Linked DNA regions of Coturnix japonica. The protein of the gene in region 3 purifies or fractionates together with the protein of the main gene of each other region. This does not show direct contact. Links are inferred from orthologs where the notes say so. Each region holds a gene or a part of one and is shown on either strand. Other genes may lie near its edges.

Evidence for each region. Proteins that work in one complex are often made in the same cells at the same time.
Region 1: the proteins of protein argonaute-4 (region 3) and TNRC6B purify together in Homo sapiens (co-immunoprecipitation; 3 studies listed by BioGRID and IntAct, with this or other methods). This does not show direct contact. The link is inferred for Coturnix japonica from reciprocal best matches to the Homo sapiens genes AGO4 and TNRC6B.
Region 2: the proteins of protein argonaute-4 (region 3) and TNRC6A purify together in Homo sapiens (co-immunoprecipitation; 4 studies listed by BioGRID and IntAct, with this or other methods). This does not show direct contact. The link is inferred for Coturnix japonica from reciprocal best matches to the Homo sapiens genes AGO4 and TNRC6A.

The regions. Positions count from the first base shown.
Region 1 is NC_029516.1:45,822,415-45,827,758, reverse strand, and holds the start of TNRC6B (trinucleotide repeat-containing gene 6B protein), read left to right. Parts: upstream 1-1,743; 5' UTR 1,744-1,858; intron 1,859-1,934; exon of another isoform or gene 1,935-1,976; intron 1,977-5,344.
Region 2 is NC_029529.1:6,727,965-6,733,204, forward strand, and holds the start of TNRC6A (trinucleotide repeat-containing gene 6A protein), read left to right. Parts: upstream 1-1,639; 5' UTR 1,640-1,654; coding exon 1,655-1,846; intron 1,847-5,240.
Region 3 is NC_029538.1:3,746,085-3,751,270, reverse strand, and holds the start of protein argonaute-4, read left to right. Parts: upstream 1-1,730; 5' UTR 1,731-1,811; coding exon 1,812-1,830; intron 1,831-4,089; coding exon 4,090-4,255; intron 4,256-4,705; coding exon 4,706-4,826; intron 4,827-4,912; coding exon 4,913-5,094; intron 5,095-5,186. Other genes in the region: CLSPN (claspin), read right to left, coding at 665-682.

The sequences.
Region 1 (5,344 bases), on a different chromosome or scaffold from region 3:
CAGCAGTAGCATAACACTGACATCCAGTGGATGAAAAAATACAGTCTCACTTGCTAACTCCGTCCCACTTCTGGACAGAAATGCAAATAGGAGAGGTGTGAAAACATAGCAAGAACTACTTTGTTCTTACACATTAGGGCTTTTGGAGCTGGAAACTAGCCCAGGAGCTGAGATTCTCCATGTGTGAACCTGAACGAGACCTTCTGAACTTCCAACAAAACCCTGCCCCCTTAGAGGTTGCTTTCCCTCAGTATCTGCACAGCCAGGTCGGTATTGCATCTCTGTTCTTTCGCTTTTTGGCACCTAAAGTCCATGTTCAGCTGCTGTGGCGTTATAACGGGATGCTCCTGAGGAGACCAAGTGGAAACATGGCGCTGGCACACAGGCCTGGATGAGGCTGGGAGGGGACAGACATAGTGCTAACAGCAGCCCTCAGCAATACCAGAGAACCAAAAGAGCGTGGAAATGGGGGTACACACCTCCATTTTCCCTCCCTCCCAAATGCATCTCCGACCACAGAAGAGCCCGAGTTGGAAGGGGCCCATGGAGACAACACCAAACCCCACGTCTGAGTGTGGATGACCCCACAGGTCCCCTCAGAGCGCCCCTTCCTCACCCTCCAGGCCCCGTTTCCCCCCCCCCGCACCGTGCGGAGCAGCGCTGCCGCCAACCCGCGCTCTGAGGAAGCGCCTCACACCGCCCCCCCACCAACCGCCGCCGCCAGCCCCGTCACGTGCGCAACTGGGAGAGCCACGTGACGCCCCCACCGCCTCACGCGGCCCGACACCGCCTTCCCCCCGCCTCCAGGAGACGGTGCGGAGATTGACAGTTAACTCAACCAATCATAGGGAAGACAACGCCCCCTCCCGCCCACGCCTGCGCGTAATCTGGCACCGAAGGCGGCTGCCAGTTGGCTGCGGAGGAGTCGCCCCCGACCAATGGGCTGGCCAGTAGTGTGACTGACATCCTCCCCGTCCAATCGCTGTGTGGGAAGGGCGGAGCAAGAAGTAAATGTTGCAGACGGCAGGAGTGTGGCGTTGTTGCCCCCTGGCATCACGAAGAGGCGGTGGCCGCTGTCCTCCTCATTACCGGGTGTGCCCGTCTCCTCCATTGGGCAGAGGAAGGAGGCACGCTGCTGCAGCCCCCACATCCACTTCGTTTCCAGCGCCGCTGCTCGATGGGCCGCGTTACAATGTGACGAGCACACGCCTTCGCCAATGGCGTGCGAGGGCGCAGCCTACCGGCCAATCCGTAGCGAGAGGGGGCGGGGCAAGTAGGGGCGGGCGTCTCATCTACGGGGCCAACCTCCCAGCCAGGGGGAGGAGTGGGAGGGGGTCGGTCGGTAGCCAGCGAGGGAGGTAACGTCAATACGTGACAGTCAGCCGGGGCAGCCAATCATTGAAGGGGTACCGTCGAGTCTGTCCAATCAGAGGAGCTGGAAGGCGGGTCTTTCTCTTTGATGGACGTGGGCCTTGGCTTATGGGCGGGGAGATGCGTGCGGCTCTCCCCAATGGACAGCATTCAGGGGCGGAGAAAGATAAGACGAGCAGGCGAGACAGCCAATCAGCGCGGGGGTCGTCGGGGCGCAGTCCAATGGGCGGCGCGAGGGGCGGCGCGGGGGCGTGTCTCAGTGTGTTTGGGTTCGTGCTCCTCGGGGGAGGGAGACGGCGGCGAGGAAAGTTTTTTTTTTTTTTAAACTATTTTCTCTCTTTTTTTTTTTTTTTTTTTTTTTTCTTACTATTTGTGTCGGCGCAGCAGGAGGCCGCGCTCCGCTCCGCAGCCTTTTGGCGTTCGTTGTTCCCCGGGCGGAGCCGCCCCCGGCACTGAGAAGGGGGCTCAGCGCGGCGGCGCCTCAGCGGTGAGTGTGTCCTCCCCCCCCTTCCCCTCAGGGCCCTTCCCGCCCGCGGGCCGCGCGCGCCGCCTGTGAGGGGCCATTGGCGGTAGCGGCGCGCTCGCCCCTCCGCCCTGCAGTGAGAGTGAGCCACGGGCGGGCTGAGGGGGGCTCACCCAGCGCGGCGGCGGCTCGAGGAGCTCCGTCCCTCCGGTTCCACCGATAGGGCCCTTGGGGGCCGTCGGGCTGCTGCCCGGCCTCGCGGCGTGCGGCTCCCGGCCCGCGGCCCCGGGAAGAGGGCCGGAACGGGAGAGAGCCGCTGTGGTGTGGGGACGGCGCTGAGGTGGCGGCGGTATCCCGGCGGTATCCCGGCCGCTCGCCGTGGTTGTGTGGAACGTTGATGTGGGGACGTGGGTGGGAGGAGGGACGGTGCCGAGAGGTGTGTCCCGGCGGCGCGGGGAAGGGGATAGCAAACTTTCCCGGGGTGTTCGTAGCGATAGGAGCCGCTGGTTGGGTGTGGAGAGGCGGTGCTGGGCAGCGCGGTGTCCCGCCGGCTCTCGGCGGCTGCTGCAGGGCAGAACTGAGGCGTTCTGAGCGAGCCCGGGGTCAGCGCAGCGCTGCCCTGGCCGAAGCAGAGGGGCTTAATGCTGTACACTCCGCTTTAGCCTCCCTATGGTTGTTTGGCCGTATTTTGCTACCCCGAACAGTGACTTTGCTATCTCTCCCTATAGTCTGCATTGCGCCTTTAGAGTTAACTTTTTCTGCCCTCTCCTTTTTTATTTTTTTAACCCTCCGTAATCATATTTAACCACAGCTTGTCTGATTACAGTCCCACTTTCATCTCCAAAACCTATGCGTTTTTCTGAGTAGCAGCAGGTAAACCCGTGTACTTTGTGTAGCCCTGTATGAAAGTTTTGCGTGCTGCTTTCCAGTACTGTTGCTATTCAGATGAACTGAACTTTAGTTTTTGGTATGATTGTATGCAGAGCAGCTTTGCTTCTTCAACTTCTTATTGTACGAGTTCAAGCAGCTTTCTATTAAGCTCATCTGTACCGAAGTTGCTTAGCAATCCCACCTCTCCTATGGTTGCTGTGACAGTGCAGGTGCCTCAGAACACACGTACTGCTGTGGAGCTCAGCCAAACGTTCTGATCTGCGGTGGCACCCGAGGTCCTGAACTCAAAGATAAGGTCAGGGCTTTGCTGCGTGATCCACTGTCAGTGCTGGGGCTGCCATGCAGATGGACCTTAGGAGTGCTTGGTGAAGGTGGCTCCTCACCCGTTTGTTGTTAACTTTGCTACTCAGGCAGGTAAAGCCTGGCAGTGCTTTGATGGCCTGGCAAAAAGATGAGGGGAGAGTGGAACCCTGTGTGGCAGCAGGCACGCATTAGTTTTCTTGCTCTGAAGTTGTGGTGGCAATGCGGTGCAGGTAGATATTATGTCATAGAACTAGGTGTGATGTTCATTATATCATTTACTTTCATCTTGGCTAGCTATGTTTCATGTAAACATTTTGTGAATATACAATTTCATGTAAAACTATGCACATATATATATGCAATTAACTCAGAATTGGCAGTGCTAATTGGTAAAGTTCTAGTGTGTATAACTCGTCAACTTAGTCTTCATTTGTTTCCTTATGATGTTATCGGGCTGCTTAGGAAAAAGATTCTCTTAATTCCAATAATGTGGAAGTACTGGGTAAAACAGTGACCCTGCTTTATAAACCAGTGTATGAATGAATGTTACTGCAGTGTTTGCATAGCTGCACATTCAGCTGGAAATCTGAGCTGAAAATGTGACAAAAATAAGGTTTGGTCCAGTCGGATGTTCACAGAATTATCATCAAGGTTGGAAAAGACCTAGAAGATCATCTAGTCCAACCATTACCAATACTTCCCGGCTAAATCATATTCATCAACACAACATATAGATGTTGTTGGGGAAGGAGAATCTCGAAACTGAATCAGAGAAAGTATCACCTGCCAGCAACTGTGTGACTGAGTATTGCAGTCAAACCCTGCAGTTAGTGAGCGTGTCATGGCTTTGCCTGGTGATGAGCATTTGATCATTAGAACTTGATGTCCTATAGCTTTCCAGGCTTGGAGGATGACTTGAAGAGGAGGGAGTTTCAGAGAGAGCAAACTTAGCTCTGAAACAGTAAGTTTAGCCTGAGGTTTTCCTCCAATGGCAGGTAGTAGTGAAACAGAAATAAATTGCTTTGCAGAAGTAGTGCCTGATTGCTGCATTGGAACAGTGGGTTGTGGAGCTGCATCCCGGATGGTGGAGTGAGGTGAGGAGTGCTATAGAAGGCATCATTTGAAAGGAAGTTCAAATGGATTTTGTTCTTAGGTCTTGATTTTATTTCACGGTATAACTGGTGTGTTTCTGCTCATGGAAGGCTGCCTTTACAATTATTAAGAACTGGAGACCATAGAAAAAACATCCTAGGAGCTTAGTTATTGATTTGAATGGGTTTTTTAATAGTCTACCAAATGGTTTGGTTACTTTATTCTGTTTTCTGCAGGATACTTGGATGCAGAATTTTCTGTCCTGGCTGCTTATTGCCATTATCTTTATTTGTGTGTGTGTGTTTGTGTTTATATATGGATAGTCCGGCTTGTGCAATAATGACAATCAGCAGTTGCTTTGCGGCTTCTTTGCTGCAGAACAGCAAAGACTTTCCTCACTAAGACTGTCACTGTTTAGAAGTGGCTTTTTTTGTTGTTTTCATGTGGTAAAATAAGTATTTAATGCATGGCTAGAGGAGGAAGTATCTGAAAGTCACAATTAGATACTGCTGGGTCTTGTTCAGCACAAGTTTTGCCCCCTCAGTCCTTGCAGTGTGTTTGCCTGAGCTGCTGTTGGAAGTGCCTTGAATGGTTTTCTGATGGTTTTGTTTTTGAAAAAAATACTTGTAAAATGTTACATTGTCTTAGGGAAAGTGAATTGTCTTCTGTTCTAATAGTGAGAACTTAGTGACACATATGTAGAGCAATTAATACTATATATTTCTAATTGTTTAACCAGATGTGGTATAAAAGAATTTGCTGATAACGTTCCATACCTTAGTAATTGCTTTTTCCTCCTTCTGATAAAAGTACAAACTAAATTGTGCTGTTCTTCCAGCACTCGGCATGCGATGTAGAGCCTGAAGAACTGCTCTCAATTTCTTGTTAATCCAAACTAAACTTTTTACCCCCGTCTGCTAATAGAAGCAGGGACGCACTGTGGTACCGGAGCCAGCTGTCACTGTCAGACAAGGAGCTGCCAGTTGGCATTTCTGCCTGGGAGTTGATGAGGGTAATAGCCAGTAGGGTATAATGCTGCTTCTTCCCTGTCACTCTTAGCAGACAGTAAAACTCTTACACTTCCTAGATTTCTCTGTTTTATTCTCCATATTTGCTTTGCTATGTGCAAAAATAATGAAAACTTTTTTTTTTTTTTTTTCCCCCAAGGAAGTAAGCGTGCTTTGCTTCAAAGAATGGATGTTGTTTGGCTTTTTTTCCTCCTAT
Region 2 (5,240 bases), on a different chromosome or scaffold from region 3:
CCGGGGCGCTCCTTCGTCTCCTCTGAGAGGGAAGAGAAGCTCCTCGACATGCCAGGGCTGCAGCCGGCCGCTCCCTTTCACCTCTGCGAATGAGGCAGTGCCTGGTGCCCACCTGGGTTGCAGCGCGTGGGGCAGCGCTGGCCAAGCACGAGGCCCCCCCCGTCCCCGTGGAGCAGCGGGCGCTCGGCCCTGTCCTCCCCCGCTGGCACTGCAGGTAGGTGTGGGACGGTGCTGGTCCATTGGGGCACTGCTGGTAGCGACAACGTGGGCTGGAAATGCCGCTCCCTGGGATGGCTGCTGGGGCCTCGCAGCCTCATGGGGAGCCCACGTGTGGTCTCGGTGGCTGCCAGCACAAGGGATGGCACAATGGTCTGGGGATGACCTGTGGAATGCATGTAGCATGCATGCAGTGGCCATGCTGGCACCGTGGGCACAAGGCTGGTGGTGCCCCTCATCAGCTGTATTTAATTGGTGCATTCTGTTTTCTTGAACACGCTGTGGTGATGGAGCTGGCTCTGCTGCTGTTGTGCACGTGGGGATGAGTGGGGATGAGGTCGCAGTGGGGGCTGTGCCATGAGCCTGTCAGGGATGACATGGGACCTCCGGGAGGGATCCACCATGGGATGGAGAGTGACAGCATCCTGTGTTGCCATGGGATGGGTGGCAGCGGGATGTGGGGCTTCCAGGGCCTCCCCCAAACCTTCCCTTTTGTCCCCAGAGCCCCTCATTTCCCTGTTCTGTGTGTAGCTCATTTCATGCCAAATGGAAATGGGGTTTGTTTTTCCTTTTTTCCCCCCCTTTGCTCCTGCATGTGGCCAATGGAGTGTTTCCTCGCCGCGTTTCATTACAGCCCGTGCCGCTCAGACACCGCTCCCAGCGCTGCCGTGTGCCGGGAATGCCAATGAGCCCACACTGCCACTGCAAAGCCTATTTGTCCTGAATGCAGAATAATTAATGGTTTGGGAGAACCGAGCGAATTACATTGGAGCTGTTGCCCAATTAGTTAAACTAATTGAGAAGCGGGGGCAGCTACCACAGACCCTGCAGCATCACGGTGCTCCAACTCTGCTGCAGGAATGGGGCCGTCCCCATGCATCCCCATAGAGCTCAGCGTTCTCTTTTGGATGTTCTGCTCCGTTTTCTGTCTGTTCCTACACAAACGTGTGTGTGTGTATGTTGGGTGGAGCTGGAGGGATGGGAGCACGATGCAGCACCATCGCTGCTCTGCGGGTGCTGTGGGGCCGGGCACTCACAGAGCTGCTCTTCCCCCATATGCGCTGTGACAGATTACAGCTTGATAGAGCCACAAACACCGAAGAGCAACAGAGGCGTCAATTTAGTTATTAACAAAGGGCAGCATTCAAATGGAGCTGGCGCGGCTCCAAGTCACCGAGCTCATGAGCATTTATTAAATATTCATCGAAATCTTGGCATTTTGCTCCCCTTTCACTCCCCCACCCCCCGAAATGAGTTGGTTCTAAAGGTTAGGAGCCCGCTTCAAAAAAATTAATTATTTCGTTAGCTCGCTGTAAATTAGATCTTTACAATGAAGTTTCAGAGGGTCGGTGCATGATGGGGTCACGGTGGCACTTTGGGGGCAGGTTGGCTCATCACGCTCACCCTGACCCTGCCACGTGGCGGCGTGTGGCCCCAAATGCTGCGTGAGCTCCACAAAAGAAAGAAAAGAAAGGAGAAAAAAAAACTTAAATACAAAAACACCAGCAGGTCTGTCTGCTTCCTTCACCTGCCCCTTTGTCTCCGAGCCGTACCTGCAGCACACAGAGCTCCGTGTCACCGCCGCGCTGCGAGACTCTGCCCTCTGCTTTGGCACCGCAGCTCCCGTTTGGTGAGTGCACCGCTGCTGCCAGCAAGTAATTGGCGCAGCAATCCCACCATCACTCATTAGCATGCAGGGTGCGTGCGGGAGCTTCGATGCCTGCAGCCTTGGCATGGGGCTGCTGGGTGTGGGAGTGTGGCGGGGTGCTGCAGGTTGTTTGGTGCTGCAGGTTGGTTGGTGCTGCAGGTTGTGGGGTGCTGCAGGCTGTGAGGTGCTGCAGGTTGTGGGGTGCTGCAGATTGTGGGGTGCTGCAGGTTATGGGGTGCTGCAGGTTGTGGGGTGCTGCAGGTTATGGGGTGCTGCTGCTCATGCAGAGCCATGCACCAAGGGCTGTTGCTTGGTGTCTCTTCCTCCCACCAGCTCCCTGCTGTGCTCCTGTGGCTGCATCCCTGCAGCCGTTGTGATGCTCCCAGTGCTCCAGGCTGGTGGGACACCTGAAGCTACCATAGCTCATTGCCTTGATGCTGGGATTAATTGTTTTTCTTCCCCATCCGTAAGCATTTGGGGTGAGTGTTTGGAGTGTGTGCTGTGCCGTGGTGCTGAGTCCAGGCTCCGCCATGCCCTGGTGCCCCACCTGCCCCCTGCCATGCTCATAGCACGCAAACAACCACACAACCCCAAAGGCAGACAGGGCCATGGGCTCAGCCCCAGCCTGGAAGGGGCTGCAGGGGCCCGACACAGGCACTGTCCATTAGGATGCAGGTCCATCACCATCTCCCTGGAGACCATGGGAACAGAGGGCACGCAGAGCCGGTGCCTGGCAGCCACGCTGGGAAGGGGCAGCTGTGCATCGACTCTGAGAGCGCCGATGAATTACTGCCCCTGTTCAGGCAGGAGCCTTTGTTCCCCGCGCATTGTCAGCAGAGAAATTGGAGAGAAAAGTAAAATTAATCAGGCTCAGCTCGAGATATGGGGAGACAATGAGCCGAGCGCGTACCAGGAGATAGCGCTGCGCGGAGCATCCGCTCCGTTTTAAGCATTAGTAGCAATTTTTTTCCTGTCCTTGAACTAATTATCTACAAAAGCTCCTTTGAGCCGACGCTGGGTATGAATTGCCGTGCTGGTGCTGCATTGTGACGGCAGTGATCCCGTATTTAATACGCGGGGCATTCCTGGGTAATGGCTGGCCCCTTTGTGCCGCTGAAGGAAGCCATATGTTTCAGAGACATCCCGAAAGATCTCACAGCAACAACAAAACGGGGATTTCTGCGGCTGCTGAATGTGGCTGCCAATCATCCACATCCCGCTGCCGGTGTTGTGTGGGTCACTGCGGGGCTGTGTTAGAGGAGGGATGTGCTGGCTGGGCACTGAACTCTCCGCGCTGCTGAAGTGCACCAAGGGAGCTGCTTTTCCTCCTCACTGCAGCTCCGTGTCCATCACAGAGAGCTGAGGAGCCTCCTGTCCCAGTTCCTGAGGTTCAGCTTGGGCGCGGTGTGCAGGGTTTTCTCTGTGGGTTTTTCCTTCCTTTTTGCTTGTACGGATTCGCTCCCAGCCATCTTTTGCGCCAGATTAAAACCTGTGAGCCCATGACTTCCTAGGGCATAGCTTTGCAATTGGTAGGAATGGGTTTCAAAGCCCCTCCTGTCCCATGGTGCTGAGCCCCAGCAGTGTGCCCAGTCCTACTCCTCCCCTCCCAGCACAGGGCAAGACCTGTTCCCATCCGCTCCCTTTGCTCTTTGGGTTCCCCATCTGACAGTCAGCACAAAGCACAGCTCCATCTTGATTTAGTAAGTACCTGGAAATGTCATCAAAGATGTGATAATAAAATATCAAATGCAGGCAAATGACTAGCCAAAAGGCATTTAAAAAAGTGAAGAGTGTCTGTGTAGTAGATTAAGACAGCCATTCCCATCCTGTACGGTCTCACCACCTGTCCATTACCTACATTTGATGCTTTATCACTCCAAAGGCTCAGCTCACCCAGCTCACATCCTCAGTTCATGCACTGCTACTTACAAGGCAGACAGAGACACTGATGGCAACAGCTACAGCTGAGTTCTGATGCTCAGAAGTCTCTCAGCAAATTAAAGCCCAGCCCCACACCCGAAGCAATAAGGACAGAGCCAGCTCAGCAGCACAGGGATGGATGTGTTAATGTTTTAATAGGCTGATTACCTCATAAATAATTTGCTCAGTTCTAGAGTAATTGACCCGGTCACAGAGGTAATAAAGGGCTTTCCCTTGGGTTCTTGTTCAAAGGCTCAGCAAACCCTTTCCAAGGGAGCCCTAAGTGCCTTTTAACAATATGTGTTTTATATGGTCACAGTCTGGTACCCTGCTAATTCAGCAGTCACTGCAAACACCATCAGTTCAGCTCCATGGACAATTCAATTAAATTAAAAATAATAATAATAAAATAAAGAAGAAGGGGAACCAACACCTTCAGCCCCAGGAGCTCTGTGCTGCTGTGTGTGGGCACTGCCCTCCTGCAGCTCCACTGTGCAGCCCCTCGGCTGTGCCCCTGCCCCCCGCTACTCCTGGCACTGGGCTTGTCTATGGCTGTGGGTCACTGTCCTGCAGCAGGAGCGGGCAGAGCTCAGGGCACAGCTTCAAGCTCTGACTCATTCACCCATCCCATTCATGTCAATATACTGAGGTTGTGCCCGTTGCTTTGGGCTCTTGTGTGCTGGGGATTCCTGCTGTGTGCTGTGGGTTCCTCTTAATTACTGTTTTCCTCCCCTCTGATGGGTTTTTTCCCATGTGTGCTGGGTATTCCTGGGGTGTACTGCACGTTCCTGATGCATTTTTGCTGTTCTTCCTGCATCCCAGCTATTCCCATTGCACACTGTGCCCTTCTCCTTGCTGGCACTGGGAGCTGCAGAGCCAGGCTGTGGCCCAAACCGTCAGACATAAATCTAGCTGTGATGGAAAGTAAATTCAATATCCTTGCCCTTATTTTTGTAAATTAGTGTAACCGTCAGCTGCAGAATAAATGACACCTAATTACTGATGGGGCAGCTCGTGCAGGAGCGCGGAGCTGGGAGGCGATCATAGCAAAGCACTGTCAGTGATGGGAAATGAGCACGATGCCGGCTGTAGGGAGCTGTAATTACGGAGGACTGACACACTGTGAGCTGTTTATGGTAATGAAGCGGTGCATCAAATCAAATTAACCTTAGTTATTTGGCACAGAACGCACTGAGGACTTCTCTCAGTCGATGCCGAACCCAAACCCAGAGCGGTCGCCCTTTGGACCCAAAGAGTCAGAAATCTGCTGAAGGTGGAGGCAGTGGCTCTCATTTAGGATGTGTGCATGGCTGTGTGCAGGGTCAGGGATGCAGGGCCGGGCAGGTTGCAGTGCCCTGTGCCCTATGGGCATCCCCATGACCCCATGTCACCATGCACTGGGCACAGCTGGAGCAGGTCAGCTGGAGGAATGCCCACATCAGGATCCCTTCCCCCT
Region 3 (5,186 bases):
GGCCTTGAACACCTCCAAGGACGGGGCATCCACAACCTCCCTGGGCAGCCTGTTCCAGGGCCTAACCACTCTCCTAGTGAAGAACTTCCCCCTAACATCCAACCTAAATCTTCCCTCCTTTAACTTCAAACCATTTCCCCGTGTCCTGCTATTGTCAGCCCTTCCGAAGAGTTTAAGGGAAGAGTAGGTTCCCTTCAGGTATTGAAAGGCTGCAATGAGGTCTCCCCGCAACCTTCTCTTCTCCAGGCTGAACAAACCCATCTCCCTCAGCCTGTCCTCGTATTTCCACACTCTATCAATGTTTATTAGTGTCTAAACGTGCCTGTGCCCCACGTGACCGCACACACACACAACTCAATCAGCGCTTTGAGTTCATTACGACCAAACGCGGCCTACAACCGGAAGTGAAGCGCCATCACACCGGAAGGCCGCCACGAGCTCCCACAATGCACCGCGAGCCGGAAGTGAGCGCCGCCTCCCTGAGCATTCTGGGAAATGCAGTCCTGAAGCAAAGGCGGGAGGACGGAGCTGCGGGGCCGCCCGGTTGAGCTGTGGAAGCTCCGCCATGTCGCTCAATGGCCATGTCCGCCCTCAGCCCTGCGGTCACAGGAGCTGTAATATCCCCGGTAGGAGGCAGATGAACACACGGTGCGGTCACACTCACCTCAACGGGAGCCGCCATGACCCGGCCCGGCCTGTGCCGCCTAATGAACCTCTTCGAGTCTTCGCGCGCTGCTTTAGCCCCGCCCTTTTTTAGCACCAACCAATCATCGCTCAGCACATCCCTTTAAGCCCCGCCTTCCTTGTGTCTGATTGGGTGTTTGTATCTCTTCGCCCCGCCCTCTCCAGCACCGTCCAATCAGCGCTCTCCGTGTGGGGGTGGAGCTCCGTGTGGTACCGGGGTCTCCTCAGTGCGGGGTCGGGCCGCGGTGACACCACAACCCGAACCTACACAATGTAAGATCCGATTCACCTTATATATATATATATATATATACACGACAGGTCCGCACTTTGTACAATATAAAAACGGTTTGATAACGTTTATTAGTTGTTTTGTCGCAATTAAAAGTCAGGCTGCATCTCGCAGCGTGATAAAGGGAGAAAAAACAGCAATTTCTGAGGTTCCCGGTGACATTTGTGAGGTGTCCGCTGTTATTTCTGTGCAGATCCGGGTAATTGTGGCTGTTTTTATGTCTCTAACACATCATAGAACGGACAGAGTGACAACAGCGGGCTGCCAGGCCGCACAGCGCCTCTTTAGTTACCACAGGGCCTGAATTTGGCTCTAATAATGGCTCCGGATGGAGGCGATGTTTTATATTGTGTAAAATGTGTTTTATATTGTGTAAAATGGGGTTAAAAAGAGCCGAGAACCAACGGACCGAAGCGCCTCATTGCTGGGAGGGGGCGGGGCGCGCTCACCTGTGTGCGTAACGACGTGCGCGCTCCCGCCCGCCAGCAGGGGGGCGTTGTGCGTGCGCGCTCCCGCGGCTCAGGGCAGCGTGGAGGGGGCGCGCACGGCGGGAGGCGGCGCGTGCTGGCGGCGGCGGCGGGGGCGCGCTCGGCGGCGCGCAGCGGGGGGATTGTTTGCAACGCCGCTCGGGGTTAGCGGAGCTCCGGCAGCTCCCCCCCCGCCGCCGCCGCCACCCCCCCCACCGCCGCTGCTCCCCCCCGTTTCCTCGCCTGGCCCACATCCCGAAGTCAATATTCCCGAGATCAAGCGTTACGCGGCGGCGGCGGCGGCGGGGCCCGGGGCGGCCGGTGGGGCCGGGGGGGACCGCAGCGAGGCCGCCGCCGCCGCCGCCGCTATGGAAGCGTTGGGACCCGGTGAGATACAGCGGGAGGGGCGAGGCCCCGGTGGGGGCTGTACGGGAGAGGGGAGGAGGTGGAGGAAGCGGAGGCCGCGGGCTCGGGAGCCGCTACAGGCCGCTGGGCCGCGGGGAGAGCCTGGAGCGATGAGAACCGAACGACACGGCCTGGAACCGGCTGGGAACTACGGGGGAAGTTTGTGGGGCGGGTGATGGCTGAGCTGTCAATGGGGCACTCGGGCTGTGCTTGGGATGGGCGGCAGCGGCTGTGAGCACAGAGAGGCTGTGAGCACAGAGAGGCTGATGAGGGCGTTATATTGGTCAGCAGCCTGTGGTTGAATGCTGGTGTTATTTTGCATGTGGTGTTTTCTTGCTTGTGTTTTAATAGCCGAGCTAATTCTTCTGCCGGTTGGGTTTCTCTACCGAAGTGTGACTTGTCTTGGTATAATTGTTAATTCGGTTGAAATATTAGGTATTTATTGATACTAAGAGAACTGGGCTTGTTTAGCTTGGAAAAGAGAAGGCTCTGGGGAGACCTCATTGTGGCCTTCAAGTACTTGAAGGGAGCGTATAACAGGAGGGGGAACGGCTGTTTGTGAGGGTGGACAGTGATAGGACAAGGGGGATGGTTTTAAAGTGAGACAGGGAGGTTTAGGTTGGATATAAGGAGGATGTTTTTCACCCAGAGGTTGGTGATGCACTGGAACAGGTTGCCCAAGGAGGCTGTGGATGCCCCATCCCTGCAGGCATTCAAGGCCAGGCTGGATGTGGCTCTGGGCAGCCTGGGCTGCTNCACTGGAACAGGTTGCCCAAGGAGGCTGTGGATGCCCCATCCCTGCAGGCATTCAAGGCCAGGCTGGATGTGGCTCTGGGCAGCCTGGGCTGCTGGTTGGTGACCCTACATATAGAAGGGGGTTGGAACTGGATGATCATTGTGGTCCTTTTCAACCCATGCCAGTCTGTGATTCTGTGATATAATTGTAGGGGTTGGAAGGGACCTTCAGAGACCGAGAAACCAGCAGAGGTTTGTTCTGACAGTCTGCTCTGCAGCTGCACCATGCAGTCTGTCCGTGCTGGCTGCCTGCTCTGCTGGATCCTCTTCTTGCTCCGTACAACACTTCCTGTCTGAAGTAACATCTTGAGGTTTCAGTACCCATAAATGTCCCACGGTGGAAGAAATGGAGTTAAATAGTGCATGTGAACCTTGTCAGGCTGATGGGGCAGGGTGGTCTCCAGAATCCTTGGAGAAGTGCCTTTAGAAAGGAGAAGGTTTAAGTTGCATCTCCTTCCATGGACGCTGACCTCGGTCAGCACAGCCATTCCTGCCCACGAAACGTATCAATATGAGGCAGGAAAATGGGTAAATATAGTTGTCATTTAATCTCTTGTGGGAGGTCAGTGCTTGCACTTACTTCAGGCTAATTAGCGCAGGATTAATGGATCATCTCTCTCGTATCCAAATAAGCACAGCAAACTTTGATTGCCCTTGATGATTCACACTTGGCGAGATGGCTGTAGCTTGTAGAAGTACTAACTGGACCCTACAACCAGTTTAACTGTGCTCCTGCCCTGGTGGCAATTACTCATGTGGGTGCAGAACCAGCAATGCATCGTGTGGGATGTCTGCACCCCATACAGCCAAAGCTTTGGCAGTGATGTGTCAATTGGGCTCCAGCTGCTCTGAGCGTTCTGCTTGCAGTCATTGTGGGGTTGGTATTTGGGTGCGATGGCCGTCAGCTGCTTACAAACCCAAGTGCAGGAGGCTCCTTTCGTTTGGTCTTAGCTGTAGTTTAGGATTGTGTTAAGCTTATTGCTGCACACTGAAGTGTTCCCAAATATGAGCTTCATCCTCCTACAGCTTATCTGCTTCTCTTCGCTTCTAATATAACTGTGAGCCCTTGATTTAAATGGATACTGGCAGGTTGACACTTATGATACTGAACTTGCCCTTAGTTTAACTGTTAGTTTATTGCTACTCTTTGCCCCTCTGCTTTGCTGCTCGAGAACAGAGGGAAGAATCACAGATCACCCTGCATGCTGCCAGATACAGACAAAAGCCATGAAAAGATATTGCTTTGTATGCAGTGTAGACTGGGGCTGTGATAGATTGAACAACAACAGAAAGCGTTTAATCTTGTTAACGTGGTATCTCAGATCTTAAAACTTTGAGGACTTTAAGGTTTCTTTCTGCCATGTCAAAAAGACTTTCCAGCTAAACACACCTGAAAAGATGCTGCACTGAGTTATAATTCTCTTCTGTATTTGTTTGACTTCACAGGGCCCCCAGCAAGTCTTTTCCAGCCCCCCCGTCGCCCAGGCCTGGGCACTGTTGGGAAGCCCATCCGCCTCCTAGCCAACCATTTTCAGGTTCAGATCCCTAAGATCGACGTTTATCACTATGATGTGGATATCAAACCAGAAAAACGACCCCGAAGAGTGAACAGGTAGGAGCTGTTTAATAGCGATAACACTGTTAGCTGTTATACAAAGATGTCTGTTAGTAACCGGGGTGAGGGAGTTCTGCTTGTAAATTGATACAAGTGTTTTAGGTGTTTGTGCATATCAGTAGAGCCCATCTGAAGAGCACCCCAGCTCACCCCAGGGCAGATGCTTGTATTTGCTCCTGGGTATGAACAGTTCTTCAGATTGCTCTGCTTGTACTGAGAGCATCTCTTCTGGCAGCAATGAGTTTGGACACATGCCTTGCACTTTGTATTGAAACTTCAGTGTCTTAACCTGGAGGTGACTTACTGCTGGTTTCTGCTGATGACCTGTGTGTGTTTGAGTGCGCTGTAGCTCCTCCTACCTTGATCAGTTAAGAAAATCTAGAAAAGGAATTTGAAACCACATAAGATCACTGCTGGATTTTCCTGTTTTTTAACCTAACTTTATAGAGAAGTGGTGGATACTATGGTGAGACACTTCAAGATGCAGATATTTGGTGACCGGCAGCCTGGATACGACGGGAAGCGGAACATGTACACTGCACACCCGTTACCCATCGGCAGGGACAGAGTGAGTGTTACTGTGAGCGGTCTGAACTTCGTGCAGAAATCTGCTGCAGTCCTTAAAAAAAGCTTCTGCTTCGCTTTATCTGTAAGGTGGATATGGAGGTGACGCTTCCAGGAGAGGGGAAGGACCAGACTTTTAAGGTGTCCATTCAGTGGGTGTCAGTCGTCAGCCTTCAGTTGCTGTTGGAAGCTCTGGCAGGGCATCTGAATGAAGTTCCTGAAGATTCTGTACAGGCCCTTGATGTGATTACACGGCACCTTCCCTCCATGAGGTGGGTACTTCAGGTGTCTGTATAACGGGTCAGTCTTGTCTCTGTCTTCCATTTCTGTTAGTTACTTGCTGGTATTCTGCTGTTACACCTTC